2 linked regions of the Diceros bicornis minor genome follow. Each later gene encodes a partner of the first gene's protein in a complex. Links are inferred from orthologs where the notes say so. Each region holds a gene or a part of one and is shown in the gene's direction. Other genes may lie near its edges.

Region 1 (7,569 bases):
TCTGGCTTCTGCCCTTCCTGGAACATGCTGTTTCTCCATTTGTCCAAAAGCTTTTCTGAGGCTAGGTTCAAGTGCTCCATCACTATAAGCCTTCCAAGATACTCCTTTCCACTGTCCCCAAAGCTTACTTGTCCCTGTCTCCCACCACCTAAGGCCTTATTAAAATACTTACATCCTATCCTCCTATTGTCTAATGTCTGTAATTGCCATTACATGTAGCTCTCTGGCTTCCTTATACTCTGAAAATGCCTGATAAATTTGAGCACATAGCAACTAAATTTTATGGCAAAGAGATTTTTAAGCCATTTAATAAAAATACAAGGGAACAAATCCAGTTTTATTTATTTACTTTTCAATAAGTTTAAATCCTTGAAGGGTACAGCATCTGGGGGGGGAAAAAGAACACAATGTCATTAGGTGCATGTTACATACAAATTTACAAATGTTATCAATTACTACAATATGGATAAATCTCCTTCCGTTGTCCCATTACTCTTTTAAGATTTTTTATTTTTATTGAGGTAACATTGGTTTATTACATTATATAAACTTCTGCTGTGCATCATTATATTTCAATTTCTCTGTAGATTATATCATATTCGCCACCCAAAGACTAATTACCATCCATCACCATACACATGTGTGAATCACCCATTTCACCCTCCTCCCTTCCCCTTTGGTAGCCATTACTCATTTCTGAAAGGTGTCCAATGACAACTTTTATCCTGGTGGGGAGGGAATTGAGTTTTTATAGCCTCAGTCTCTAGGTAAACCCGCTTTGATTAGGAACAAGTACTGGGAGCAGTGCAAGTCCATTTAATTTTGCTTCTCCTACAGAGTAAAAACCTCCTCTGATGAGAAATCTCAACTGCTCAGCAGGGTTCAAAAGCACCCTGTGACCTCAAGAATACGGCCATGCCTACTCTAAATGAATCCTGACTAAAGAAAACAGGAGCTATTTTAGAAAATCACAGGATCTGGAGTCGAAGACTTGGGCCAAAGTCCTGGGACTGAGAAACATGAGCATCAGTTTTCTTCCATAAAATAAGGCTAATAACACCTATATTATAAATTTATTTTTTTTGTAATGAAGATCAGCCCTAACATCCATGCCAATCCTCGTTTTTTTTTTTTCTCCCTTTTTCTCTCCAAAGCCCCAGTAGATAGTTGTATGTCATAGTTGCACATCCTTCTAGTTGCTGTATGTGGGACACGGCCTCAGCATGGCCGGACAAGCGGTGCGTTAGTGCGCGCCTGGGATCCGAACCCAGGCGGCCAGTAGCGGAGCGTGCGCGCTCAACTGCTAAGCCACGGGGTCGGCCCCCAATAACACCTATTTTAACAAGACTGTCATGATTAAGCAATAGGAAAATATTAAGAATTATGCCAGGAAAACGTATGTTGAATTTTTATTTTCTAGAAAATACTTCAGTGCCCAATATCTTTGCCAGAAAACTGTTCATTTAAATGATCCCCCCCCCCCCCCCCCCGAAGCAGCTTTAACAAAATCTGAAATCTAGGCACAATCCATTTGAATACTTTGCCTTCACTTTCTTTCTAATGCCAAAAAGCTGAAGTAGCCACTAATTTTGCAGCATAACCTACAGGCGATGTTTTATAATCACAATAGTTCTTAGAGTGAAAGCCCAACCCCTTGAGCTTAGTTTGACTCAACAGAGTGCCATACTGCTAATAACTGTACTTACCACACGGATTCTGTGTCCAATCGCCTTAGCAGGAAGGTTGCTTCGGAATTTGGCACGAACCATGCCACTGTTTCCATGAGCACGAGTTACCTTTCCCCAGATTACTCTGGTTTTGTTAGGTTTGCCACCAGGAGTCACTGTGTTGCTTATTTTAAAAGGGGATTAAAAAAAAAAAAAAAGCATGAGAACCCAGGCAACAATGTGATAGAAATTCAAGGTGATCTCTAGACCAGTGGCTCTCAACCCTAGTTAACCACTTAGTCATGGGGGGTGGGGGGGGCAGGAGGAGTAGGGAATGGGGGGAATCTGGGGCATAATTTATTCAACAAATCTTTGAGTACCTACTGTATGCCAAACACTTATAAATGTAATTTTTTGTAATTTTGTAAAACACAGCCATTTACAAAACATAAACCTCTTCCAGAGAATAATCAAGTAATAAATCAGTAAATATATACAATGTCACATGGTAATAGCTACAATATTGGGGGGAAAAAAGCAAAGTGGGACAAGAAGCGTGAGAATGTTTGTGTCCAGGGAGAGGAAGGAATTTGCAATTTTAAACAGCCAGAGAAGTCCTCATTGAGAAGCTAACACTGGAACAAAGACTAGAAGATAAGGCAACAGCCTGTGTTAAAAACCTGAGGAGGTTGTGTCCCTGGCTTGTGGAAAGGCAGAAGACCCCAAGGGTGAATCCTAGCTGATCACCCTAGCTGGGTTAAGAGTAGAAACAGGGAGCCCTGAATGCCCAGGGTCTTAGGGGCTCCTTAACGACTTTGGCTTTTACTAAATGAGATGGCTAACAGTTGGGAGGAGTTTGAGCAATATACAGATGATCTGACTTATAATTTTCAAGGCTCACTCTGCTTGCAGGAGGAAAGGCAGGGCAAAGATGAAAGCCTGTCCCTAGAGATTTTAATTGGTCTGGAATGGGTTTAAGAACCCAGGATTAAGAACCAATGCTCTAGAGAGAGAACATGTTTAACCATGTATATATAACATAATTTCAAGGAATCAACAAAATGAATTAAGGCACATGGAAAGTGCCCTATAAAAACTTAGGATCATAATATGAGAACTTGGCTCCGTCCTTGAAACAATTAACAGCTGGAATTTTTCTAAGCGCAGAAGATACCTAAATCCACCACCACCCACAAAAGTTACATCCTTCTAAAACCTACCATCAGGTTCCTTCAAGACCCAAAGTAGAAGCTACAACAGTACCAACCACTTTACCAACATCTTTTGTTTATTCTTCTTTCAAAATGAAAATGAGACAAAAATCAAAAAGCATAACAATACTATAAACTTACTTCTTTGCTTTGTACACGTAAGCACATCTCTTGCCCAGATAGAATTCAGTTTCATCTCGAGCATAAACACCTTCAATTTTAAGAAGGGCTGTGTGCTCCCTCTGGTTCCGGAGACCCCGCTTATAGCCAGCAAAAATGGCCTTCGACCACAGCCTACGACACACAAGACATATATTAACCATAAGCTGTTAAAAGATCTCGTTTAACTTCAACAAACCACCAGTATGATTTGACTTGTAACGACACCTACCCAAAAGTTATCTATACCAAACATCGAATTTTTTCCCCACTAGTTTTAAGTTTACATTTAGGTTCATACCCAATAAACAAAAAACAACTACAAGTACAAAGCAATTATATTTAAAACGCGTACCTTCCAGACATACTCGTCGTTTTAGAAGTCCTGTCTCCGGCAGGCCTTAAAACAAACAATCAGTTTAAAATCTTGCAGCGCCCGTTTCCCACCTAGTCCCTCCCGTTTCTTAAACCTGTCAGGCAAATCGCTTTTTGATCAGCATGTCACGTTAAGACTATGGGGAAATATAATTAAGCCATCACATCTACACGAAGCACAGTATGGCAAGACACCCCAACCTCAGAGAATGCATGATACCTAGGCAAACTCCAAAACGGAGACAAAAATGATTGTCAACACCCGACACTAAAAGAAATAACTCTTACAAACTCCAAAAGGAAGCCCTAAGAAAATTCATGCCACGATCAGTAGAAAAAAATGAAGGCCAAGGAGTCACAGAAGCACGCAGAAAACAAGACTTTTAAGCACTGAATGGGAAAATAAACCTGAGGAGAGAGACTGTAGACAAGTAAGACAAGCTTGGAGTAGGAGCAAATGGAAACAGAACCCAGCCTAAAGGAGTCACAGCCTCAAAAAACGAGCTAGACGGACAAAGTGCATCTACTTCACTCCGCTAGGGTCCAGGAAGCAACTCCGATTACCGGAGCACCCGTTCTCCGGGCGTCAGGAGACCAGCACCATCAGCCCCACATCTCCTCCATCCTGTCCTCTCTGTTGCTGGAATCCACAGAAATCACTGACTGGCAGAGCCCCCGAGCCGCAGCAGTACCTCGCTCAGGCATAAAGTTGAGCCCATCCCAGTTATTTTCCCCCAAAGTTCAGCAACAGCAGACGCCCTCACCTCCACAGCCTCCAAGATGGCGGAAAAAGAAAGTGGAGGCCCCGTCGCGCGGCCTTGTGGGATAAACATGGGTCCGCCCCCAGTTTAGGCATCTTCCGCGACCGCCGGGGGTGGGGGGGGGGGGAAGGCCTCGGAAATCGTCTTCTGACTGAAACAAGCAATGTTAAAGAGCACTTTTAAAATTATTTCCCTAAGTCCTTTTATCTTTGTAAGCTGCAACATGTATTACTTCGGAACAGAGGAAGGCAAAGTGCTAGACAGCTAAAGGATAAGAAAAGGTGATCGTTGCCATAGAAACACCTTAGTTTGGTTCCTGTGCGTCGGGTTCTGTAGGTGGGTAAGTGAAGCCAGAGTGGCGGCCCCCCCTCGGCCTCGAGTACCCCAGATTTGATTCGCCAACATGGGGGTATCTTTCCCTCTGACCACACAGGTAAAGGCCAACGGAGATTCTCGGATCCCAGCCTGGAAGAGAAAGGCCGAGAGCACGAAGGCAGGAGGAGCTGTTCCTTTTCTTTACCTTTTTTTTTTTTTCTTACTCCTTTCCTCCTACTCCTTTATCTCTTCCAAGAAATGACTTAAGTTCTTACCTCCATCCTTCGTTTTGCCCCCGATGGTGAGGAGGACTGCCCTGAAAAGACTTTACTGCCTTTTAAAGATAACTCATTCAGCTGCCAGGCAAACTCTCGGGGCCCCCAGCACCGTGCCCACACGTAGTAGGTCTTCAGTAAGTACTTGTAGACTAGAATAAGATAGATCAGTAGACATCAGAGATTTACGTTTCCTAATTATTGCATATTTATTTGGGTTACCCTTTGGATTCATTCATTTTTTCAACAAATAGTTTATTGAATGACTGCCATGTACCATCTTTGTTCCTGGCTCGGAGGACGCTGCAGTAAACAAAACAACAGAAATCTCTGCCCTCATAGAGCTTACATCTTAGTAGGGGGAGCAAGACAATAAGCAAGTAAATGGCACATTGGAAGGAGATGTGAGACAAATTTTCTCAATGGAGAAAAATTAAGCAGGGAGGCCACTGTAAGGGAGGCTTTTACTCTGAGACGAGAAGCCATTTGAGGGTTCTGTACAGAGGAGTGACTGAGTCACTGTGTTGAGACTGAAGGGAAGCAAGGCCAACAGCAGGGAGACCAATTAGAAGGCTATTATAATGATCCTGATGAGAGATTATGGCATGTAGAGAGGGGTGATGAGTACTGAAATTCTGAATATATTTTAAGTGTAATGCTGACAGGATTTGCTGATGGGTAAGGAATGAGAGAGGAAAGAGTAAAGGATGACTCCAAAGTTTTGTGGAATAGATGTATATAAATCATATTTAAAATCAGATCCTCTTTTAAGTGCATCAGGATAGAGATTATCTACCTTAGAGCCCTATCCCCTATCCAATTTTCTCTGTCCCAGAAATATGCTAGAAATCCCACTATTAGAGATGTACTAGAAATCCCACTGTTAAATGTGCTAGAAATCCAAGTGTAAGTACTCCTGAGAAGAATAACACATTAAGTGTGAGTTTCATTCCTTTGTTCATTCATTCATTCGACAAATACTTATTGAACACAATGCCTGAAACTTAGGATACAATAGTGAGCATCATTATCAGGATTCCAGCTGTCATGGAACTTAACAGTCTAGTGGGGGAAACTGACATAAACATTACAAATTGTGAAGAGAGCTGTTGAAAAATAAGAGTGCAATGAGTGCTTGAACAGAGGAATCCTGATCCAGCCTGATGAGTCAGGAAAATGTCACTTGCAGAAGTGTCATTTAAGGCATTTTACAAACTGCAGGTGATGGCCCATTAGTAGATCATGATTATAATATTTTTTAAGTAAAATATGCTAGAACTGAAAATATCAGAATGTATCACACATGTTAAGGGTAAGTTGTTTCATGAAACTTTTGTTTCAGTTATTTGTATGTATGTATATTTATATATAAGCTATATGTAAAAATGTATGTGTGCCATTGTAGGTCATTGTATCAGTCAGTGTTGGCCTGGAAGGAAACAGTTGGCAGAGATGAAAATTTACTAAAGAGTCTGCTTACAAAGGTGTAGGCAGGAGTGAAACTATGAGAGATGATGCAGTCTCCAGAAACATGTGGAAGAAGAAGTTTCCTGAGTCCCCAAGAGACAGCAAGATGGAGAGGATTGCCTGATGGGAGCCATGGTCTTTGATAGAGAAATATAGCCGACCATTGGTGATCTGACAGGGAGGGAGCTGGGAGAATAAATACCTATCCTCACTCTCCTACACTTTGTACCTCTTTCCGGAATCTCCCGTTGGTGCACTCCATTTGGGTCAGTCTCTCAGGGCACAGAAAATGGTGGAGATTGGACCTAGAGGGGCAAATGGCAGATACCTGCAAAATGCCACTGATTTAATCTGGTACCTAATAGATCAGTGGGACTTTACAAGGTGAAAAGGTGAGGGGAAGAGTGGTTCACGTTGAAGGAATAGTGTAAGCAAAGACCCTGAGTTGGAAGGGAACATGGTTCCATAGAAGAAGTGAAAGAAGCCTATTGAGGCTGGAGCCATGAGAGCAAGAAAAAGGCAGTGCCAGAGGGATCTGGAGAGAAACAGAGGGGGCCAGATCATGTAGGCCTTATGGGCCATGTTCAGAATTTTAGTTTTTGTCCTAAGGCAAGGGGAAACCATTTAAGGGTTCTAAGGAGAGACATGATCAGATTTTCAATTTTAAAAGATCAGTCTTTCATTTATTTTTTATTTTTTAATTTTTTTTTTTGGTGAGGAAGATTGGCCCTGAGCTAATGTCTGTGCCAGTCTTCCTCCATTTTGTATGTGGGACACCTCCATAGCATGGCTTGATGAGCGGTGTGTAGGTCTGCGCCTGGGATCCGGGCCTGCGAACCCCTGGCCACCAAAGCAGAGCAAGCGAACTTAACCACTACACCACGCCAGATCAGATTTTCATTTTTAAAAGATCACCTCCAATTTGGAGCCTGTTAGAGTAGTTCAAGCACGAAACAACAGCAAGTCCATCATGGTGTTGGGGGATATGGAAATAGAAGGTCAGGTCCACAGGACTTGGTGATGGTTTGGATTGGGGGAATGCTGATCAAGATGAAGGAGGAAGCAGGAATGACCCCTGGGTTTCTAGCATTGAGGAACGAGAAGCCAGAACAGCATGAAAGCACTGGATACTGCGTAAGCATTGCCCTGTCTTACCTCTGGGAAGCACATTTACCTATGCCCCAAGCCTAAAAAATGCAAAAATAAAGAAACGACAACACAGCAAGAGAACAAAATCTTCTTAACACCGCGCTACTTCCTCCTAAGACTCCTAAGACAGAAAATTTGGCTAGTTTGGAGTATCTTTTTTTCAGTTTACGTAAAGATTATGTTTTATATG
Region 2 (7,663 bases), on another chromosome or scaffold:
GATGGTATCCTTTGCTGTGCAGAAGCTTTTTAGTTTGATGTAGTCCCATTTGTTTATTTTTTCTATTGTTTCTCTTTCCTGGTCAGACATGGTGCTTGAAAATATGTTGCTAAGACCAATATCGAAGAGCGTACTGCATATGTTTTCTTCTAGAAGTTTCATAGTTTCAGGTCTTATATTAAACTCTTTAATCCATTTGGAGTTAATTTTTGTGTATGGTGTAAGGTAAGGGTCTACTTTCATTTTTTCGCATGTGGCTGTCCAGTTTTCCCAACACCATTTGTTGAAGGGACTTTCTTTTCTCCATTGTATGTTCTTGGCTCCTTTGTCAAAGATTAGCTGTCCATAGATGTGTGGGTTTATTTCTGGGCTTCGATTCTATTCCATTGATGTGTGTGTCTGTTTTTGTGCCAGTACCATGCTGTTTTGGTTATTATAGCTTTGTAGTATATTTTGAAATCAGGGAGTGTGCTACCTCCAGCTTTGTTTTTTTTTCTCAGGATTCCTTTAGCTATTCGGGGTCTTTTGTTGTTCCATATAAATTTTAGGATTCTTTGTTCTATTTCTGTGAAAAATGTTGTTGGTACTTTGATAGGGATTGCATTGAATCTATAGATGGCTTTAGGAAGTATGGACATCTTAACTATGTTAATTCTTCCAATCCAAGAGCACAGAATATCTTTCCATTTCTTTGTGCCTTCTTCAATTTCTTTCAGCAATGTTTTATAGTTTTTGGTGTACAGATCTTTCACCTCTTTGGTTAAGTTTATTCCTAGGTATTTTATTCTTTTTGTTGCAATTGTAAATGGGATGGTAGTCTTAATTTCTCTTTCTGCTACTTCATTGTTCGTGTATAGAAATGCAACTGATTTTTGTATGTTGATTTTGTGTCCTGCAACTTTACCGTATTTGTTACTTCTAAAAGTTTTCTGCTGGATTCTTTAGGGTTTTCTGTATATAAAATCACGTCATCTGCAAATAGTGACAGTTTCACTTCTTCCTTTCCAATTTGGATCCCTTTTATTTCTTTCTCTTGCCTGATTGCTCTGGCTAGGACTTCCAGTACTTTGTCAAATAGGAGTGGTGACAGTGAGCATCCTTGTCTGGTTCCTGTTCTTAGAGGGATAGCTTTCAGTTTTTCACCATTGAGGATGATATTGGCTGTGGGTTTGTCATATATGGTCTTTATTATGTTGAGGTACTTTCCTCCTATACCCATTTTATTCAGAGTTTTTATCATAAATGGATGCTGTATCTTGTCAAATGCTTTCTCTGCATCTATTGAGATGATCATGTGATTTTTATTCTTCATTTTATTATTGTGGTGTATCATGTTGATTGATTTGCGAATGTTAAACCATCCCTGCATACCTGGAATAAATCCCACTTGATCATGGTGTATAATCTTTTTAATGTATTGTTGTATGCCATTTGCTAGTATTTTGTTGAGGATTTTTGCCTCGATGTTCATCAGTGATATTGGCCTGTAGTTTGCTTTTTTTGTGTGTTGTCCTTGTCTGGTTTTGGTATCAGGGTAATGTTGGTTTCGTAGAATGAGTTAGGGAGCTTCCCCACCTCCTCAATTTTTGGAAGAATTTGAGAAGGATAGATATTAAGTCTTCTTTGAATGTTTGGTAGAATTCACCAGGGAAGCCGTCTGGTCCTGGACTTTTATTTTTGGGGAGGTTTTTGATTACTGTTTTGATCTCCTTACTGGTGATTGTTCTAGTCAAATTCTGTACGTCTTCTTGATCCAGATTTGGAAGGTTGTATGATTCTAAGAATTTATCCATTTCTTCCAGATTGTCGAATTGGTTGGCATATAGCTTTTCATGGTGTTCTCTTATAATCTTTTGTATTTCTGAGGTGTCTGTTGTAATTTCTCCTATTTCATTTCTAATTTTACTTATTTGTGCCTTCTCTCTTTTTTCTTGGTGAGTCTAGCTAAAGATTTGTCAATTTTGTTGATCTTTTCAAAGAACCAGCTCTCGGTTTTATTAATTTTTTCTATTGTTTTTTTGGTCTCTATTTCATCTATTTCTGCTCTGATTTTTATGATTTCCCTTCTTCTACTTATTTTGGGCTTTGCTTTTTCTTCTTTTTCCAGTTCCTTTAGGTGCATTGTTAGATTGTTTATTTGAGATTTTTCTTGTTTATTGAGATAGGCCTGTATTGCTATAAACTTCCCTCTTAGAACCGCTTTTGCTGTATCCCATAAATTCTGGCATGTCGTATTTTCATTTTCATTTGTCTCCAGGTATTTTTTGATTTCTTCTTTGATTTCTTCATTGACCCAGTCATTGTTCAGTAGCATTTTGTTTAATCTCCACGTATTTGTGGCTTTTCTGATTTTCTTCCTATAGTTGATTTCTAGTTTCATACCGTTGTGGTCAGAAAATATACTTGGTATTATTTCAATCTTCTTAAATTTATGGAGACTTGTTTTGTGACCTAATATGTGATCAATCCTGGAGAATGTTCCATGTGCATTTGAAAAGAACGTGTATTCTTCGGTTTTTGGATGGAATGCTCTGTATATATCTACTAGGTCCATCTGTTCTATTGTGTCATTTAAGGCCAATGTTTCCTTATTGATCTTCTGTTTGGATGATCTATCCATTGGTGTGAGTGGAGTGTTATAGTCCTCTACTATTATTGTGTTGCTGTCTATTTCTGTTTTTATGTCTGTTAATAATTGCTTTATATATTTAGGTGCACCTACATTGGGTGCATTGATATTTACAAGTGTTATATCCTCTTGTTGGATTGTTCCCTTGATCATTATGTAATGCCCTTCTTTGTCTCTTTTTACAGTTTTTGTTTTAAAGTCTATTTTGTCTGATATGAGTACTGCTACCCCAGCTTTCTTTTCATTGCCATTTGCGTGCAGTATCTTTTTCCATCCCTTCACTTTCAGTTTGTGAGTGTCTTTAGGTCTGAAGTGTGTCTCTTGTATGCAGCATATATATGGGTCTTGTTTTTTTATCCATTCAGCCACCCTATGCCTTTTAATTGGAGCATTTAGTCCATTGATGTTTAAAGTAGCTATTGATAAGTATGTACTTACTGCCATTTTTTAACTTTTTTTTTCTCCGTGTTTTAGTAGTCCTTCTCTGTTCCTTTCTTCTTCTATACAGAATTGATGGTCTCTTTATTTTCACCTCTGTCTGAAAGCTCTACTCTTTAACTCCCCTCCTCCCTCCTTTTATGTTTTTGATATCATATCTAGCCTCTTTTTTGTGCATTTGTATCCATTACATTTTTACTATGGAAATAGATAATTTTTCCTATTTGTGGTCTTCTCTTTTTCCCTTAAATCAGTCTCTTTAACATTTCTTGTAGCACTGGTTTCTTGGTAACAAACTCCTTTAATTTTTGCTTGTCTGGGAAATTTTTGATCTCTCCTTCCATTTTGAATGATAACCTTGCTGCGTAGAGTATTCTTGGCTGTAAGTTTTTTCCTTTTAGCACTTTAAATATATCGTGCTACTCTCTTCTAGCCTGTAAGGTTTCTGCTGAGAAGTCAGCTGATAGCCTTATGGGGTTTCCTTTGTATGTAACTTAACTTTCTCTTGCGGCTTTTAGGATTCTCTCTTTATCTTTAATTCTGGAAATTTGATTATGATGTGTCTTGGTGTGGGCCTCTTTGAGTTTATCTTGTTTGGGGCTCTCTGTGCTTCCTGTACCTGGATGTCTGTTTTCTTCCTTAGGTTAGGGAAGTTTTCATCTTGAAATAGATTCTCTGTCCCTTTGTCTCACTCTTCTCCTTCCAGGACACCTATAACACGGGTGTTAGTGTGCTTGATGTTGTCCCAGATGTCCCTTAGACTGTCCTCACTCTTTTTAATTCTTTTCTCTTTTACCTGTTCAGCTTGGGTAATTTCTTCTAGTCTTTTGTCCAGCTCACAGATCTGTTCTTCTGTATCCTCTACTCTGCTTTTGAGTCCCTCTAGTGAATTTTTTATTTCCAGTATTGTATTCTTCATTTCTGATTGGTTCTTTTTTATATCTTCCATTTCTTTGTTGACATTCTCACTGAGTTCATCCATTCTTCTCCCCAGATCAGTGAGCATCCTTGACACTCTTTGTTTGAACTCTCTGTCAGGTAGATTGCTCATTTCAGTTTCACTTATTTCCTTTTCTGGGCTTTTGTCCTGTTCCCTTACTTGGAATGTATTCCTTTGCCTCCTCATTTTGCCTCTTTCCCTGTGCTTATGTCTATCTATTAGGTAGGTCAGCTATGTCTCCTGCTCTTGGATAGGTGACCTTATGTAAGTGATGGCTTAGGAGGCCTGCAGTGTGCTTCCCTCAGTTCTCAATGTTCCAGGGGTGATCCCTCTGTGGGCTATGTGTGTCCTTCTGTTGTGGCCTGTTTGCTCTCCCTGTAGGCACCCAGGGAGGCCGAGTTATGCTCCTGGCCAGCTGTTGTAATGCTTAGCTGCTTGTAGTGTTGTGGACCTTTCAGTCTCTTTATCAGGTGTGGGAAGCCCCAGCACAGTTGGCTGCAAGTTCTAATACCACATTTGTGTTGCAGTATTTCTTTTAAGTGAGTAGGCCCCCAGCATGCCAGGTTGTTAGGCTCAGGGCCTTACACTTGCTATAAGCCTCCAGCCTTTAGGTCTCTTGTCTGCTCTCTGAGGATTGCAGCTCGGTGGGGCTGGCCTCAGGCACAGGAGCACCCAATTGTTTCAGGCTTTGGAAGGTGGGGCAAACCCCCTATGTGGGTCTTTGAGAGGCACAAGTCTTCTGTAGCTGACAAGCCCTGCCGCCCACAGGTCCACACACACGGTCAACACAGTCCTGCCCCTTGTGCGTGCCCCAACCTCCTGAAGCTGACCCAGTCTCTCCACTGTGGGAGCCCCACACACTCCACCACTGCCCCACTCTCTCCACCCATTCCTTGTGCGCGTCCTGCCCCACTGAAGTCAGCTCAGTTGCCAGGCAGCAGAGAGTCCAGTCACCAATCTATGCAGGCCCACAAGTTGCCTGAGGGCTTGTTGTTGGGTGGGGCCAGTCTCTAGGGTGCGCTGCCTGCCCTGGCTTAGCTGGATTAAATTGGTGCTCTAGGGGGTGGGGTAGACCCTGGGCTAGCAGGCCTCAGGGAGAACTCCAATGGTGTCTGTGTCAGCATGCCCATACCAGGCCACAACAATGGCCGCCGCCAATGTCCCAGTCCCTGGAGAGGTCTCACCCCTCACCGAGATGCACTCAGGGCCTATTAGGTGAGTCTCTTTTCACCACAGCACTGTGCACCTTTCTTTCTGGTGATTTTAGATTGCTTTCTGAAACGAGTGAGTTTGTGCGTGGGCCCTTTAAGAGCCAGTTTTAATTTCTTTGTGAACCAGCTTTTCTGGGGGTACTCCCCAAGGTTTCAGTAGCAGGCAAAGTCAGATATTATGCCACTCATCTCGATTGTGCTGGGTCCACAAAATGCCTACAGCGGGGGCGCTCCCCGGCTCAGGGTCCCACTCCTCCAGGGAGGCTGCGTACCTGTGGGCTGCTCCCAGGCAGCCGTGAAGCGCTGCGGCTTCTGAAGGCGGCGTTTTTCCTCTCCAGAATGGAGTTTCTGCCTCTTCCACCTCAATTAGGATTGTCCGTTGTTGCACGAGTTCCTCTTATCCAGTTTTCAGTTCTGTCTCGTGTAGTTTTTCCATGAGTAGTTGTAAATTGGCTGTGTCTATGGGAGGAAGTGAGTTCGGAGTCTGTCTACGCCGCCATCTTGACTTCCTCCTATATTGCCCTTTCTAATGGAGTTCTATAATTCTTCTAGAATTGCCACATTTTAAAAAAATCTTAGTTCTCTCTCTGCTCTTCTACCTGCGTCATTTCTAGGTTTCCATCTTTGAGCTCACTAATTTTTTCTTACATATGGTGCTCTGTTTCCAATGCTTTCTAATGCATTCTTCATCTCATTTATTGTGTTGTTCATCTCCAGAATTTGTTTGGGTGTTTTTTTAATGTTTCAATCTCTTTGGTAAACTATTCCTTCTGTTTATTGATTTTATTGCTGAGCTCATTGAACTGCCTTTCTGAGTTTTCTTGTAGCTCATTGAGTTTCTTCATGACAGCTATTTTGAATTTTTTATCAGTTAGATCACAATCTTCCTTGACTTTATGTTTGGTTTCTGGAGAATTGTTATTTTCTTTTTGTGATGCCATGTTACCATGGCTTTTCATGATGCTTGCTGAGTTATGCCTCTGCTGGTGCATTTTTCGTAGCAAACGCTTTTCTATTTAGGTATAGCTTGTTTGTTTTGATTCAAACTTTTTAACTAGTTGGAGATTAGAAGCCTCTCTTTTGTTTTTCAGTAAGTGGCTCTATAGCGCTAGTTTTTGGTTTCTCTTACCTGAGCTGCCTCAGGCTTTATTTGAGGATCTGCACAATTCACACTCCACTGCCTCTCTCCAGGGTGTCAGTACTCTTGTTGTCACTGCCTGTGCCTCTGAGGTCACTGATGCCTTGCTGTTGCTGGTGTCCCTGCGGTCAGTTGCTGGCTTCGCTGCTGGGGTACAGGGATGGCTGACACCTCTGCCACATCCAGGATCGCCTGGGTCAGAAGCTTCAATGCCATGGTCAGGGGAGGGTGAGGGTAAGGAGGGAGCTGGGTTTGCAGGGCATCACCTCTGCTGTTGTCGGTTATGTTGTGGCCGCAGGTGCCACTGCGGTTGGGATGTTGGAGTTGTGTGCATGCCTCCACTGCTGCTGTGTGGCTTTCAACCTTGGCTGGGGGTCCAGGATTATAGGGCTCTGCCCCTGCTGCTGCTCTGTCCCTGGTGGCTATAGGTGCCACCGTGCCTGGCTGGCCAGGGTCATATGTGTGACTCCACTGCTACCCTCCATGTTCTTTAGGGCTGGGGGTGGCTGGCTCAGCCACTGTGGCCAGAGGTCCAGGGTCCTGGGCACCACCTCTGCTGTTCCTCCATTTTGCCTCCTTTATGTGCTCCAGTCTACCCACCGTCATATGTACTGATGTGTGGATCTCTCCATCATCCTGGCGTGTTGGGCAATGTAGCTTTTGTTGGGTTATGGATATTTTACTCGCTGTAGATTGAAGGAGAGAGACAAAGGGATCCTCTCATGCTGCCATGATGATGGTGTCTCCCTAGGACTTACTGTTTTTGTTTGTATTAAAATATTCTTTGTTACTTTGCATGCTTTGATAACATTACTTGGTCAAGTGTCTCCAATTAATCAATCCTAGATGGAAGAGGTTTTATAAGTTTTACTGTTGTTCATTTGTTTCCCTGTATTGTGCTATTTCTCTCAAAACCTAACATTTGGAAATCTAAACTGAAAAACAGAAATTACAGATTCATATTACTTTTTAAAAGGGAAATGTTGATAGTCCAGAGTATAGTATGGAATAGTAGAGAAGGTGAGCTTTAGAGTAAGGTTCAAATTTGAATTCCAGCTTCCCAAAGCTCTATCTGATCTTAGCTGAGATGCTAAACCTAAGGAGCCTCAGGTTTCTGAAATGTAAAATGGGAATAATTATACCCATTTCATAATATTGTTATAACGGAGATGTGTCTTCTTGTTCATCTGTATATCCCCATCATGTACCACAGTGCCTGGCTAAAGGAATGCTGAATAAATAGGAAGGAAAGTGCTCGGTGCATTCTAGGGAATAAGTCACTATTAGTATGTGTGTGACTTGGAATC

The links. Proteins that work in one complex are often made in the same cells at the same time.
Region 2: IQCG (region 1) and EFCAB2 share a complex: the UniProt entries of both Homo sapiens proteins name them as parts of the nexin-dynein regulatory complex. The link is inferred for Diceros bicornis minor from reciprocal best matches to the Homo sapiens genes DRC9 and DRC8.

Annotation. Positions count from the first base shown.
Region 1 is NC_080754.1:26,646,696-26,654,264, forward strand, and holds the start of IQCG (dynein regulatory complex protein 9), read left to right. Parts: upstream 1-4,555; 5' UTR 4,556-4,606; intron 4,607-6,937; exon of another isoform or gene 6,938-7,364; intron 7,365-7,569. Other genes in the region: RPL35A (large ribosomal subunit protein eL33), read right to left, coding at 362-385, 1,707-1,851, 3,020-3,172, 3,393-3,403. UniProt on the Homo sapiens protein: Component of the nexin-dynein regulatory complex (N-DRC), a key regulator of ciliary/flagellar motility which maintains the alignment and integrity of the distal axoneme and regulates microtubule sliding in motile axonemes.
Region 2 is NC_080740.1:94,593,356-94,601,018, reverse strand, and holds the start of EFCAB2 (dynein regulatory complex protein 8), read left to right. Parts: upstream 1-4,641; 5' UTR 4,642-5,164; coding exon 5,165-5,222; intron 5,223-7,663. UniProt on the Homo sapiens protein: Component of the nexin-dynein regulatory complex (N-DRC), a key regulator of ciliary/flagellar motility which maintains the alignment and integrity of the distal axoneme and regulates microtubule sliding in motile axonemes.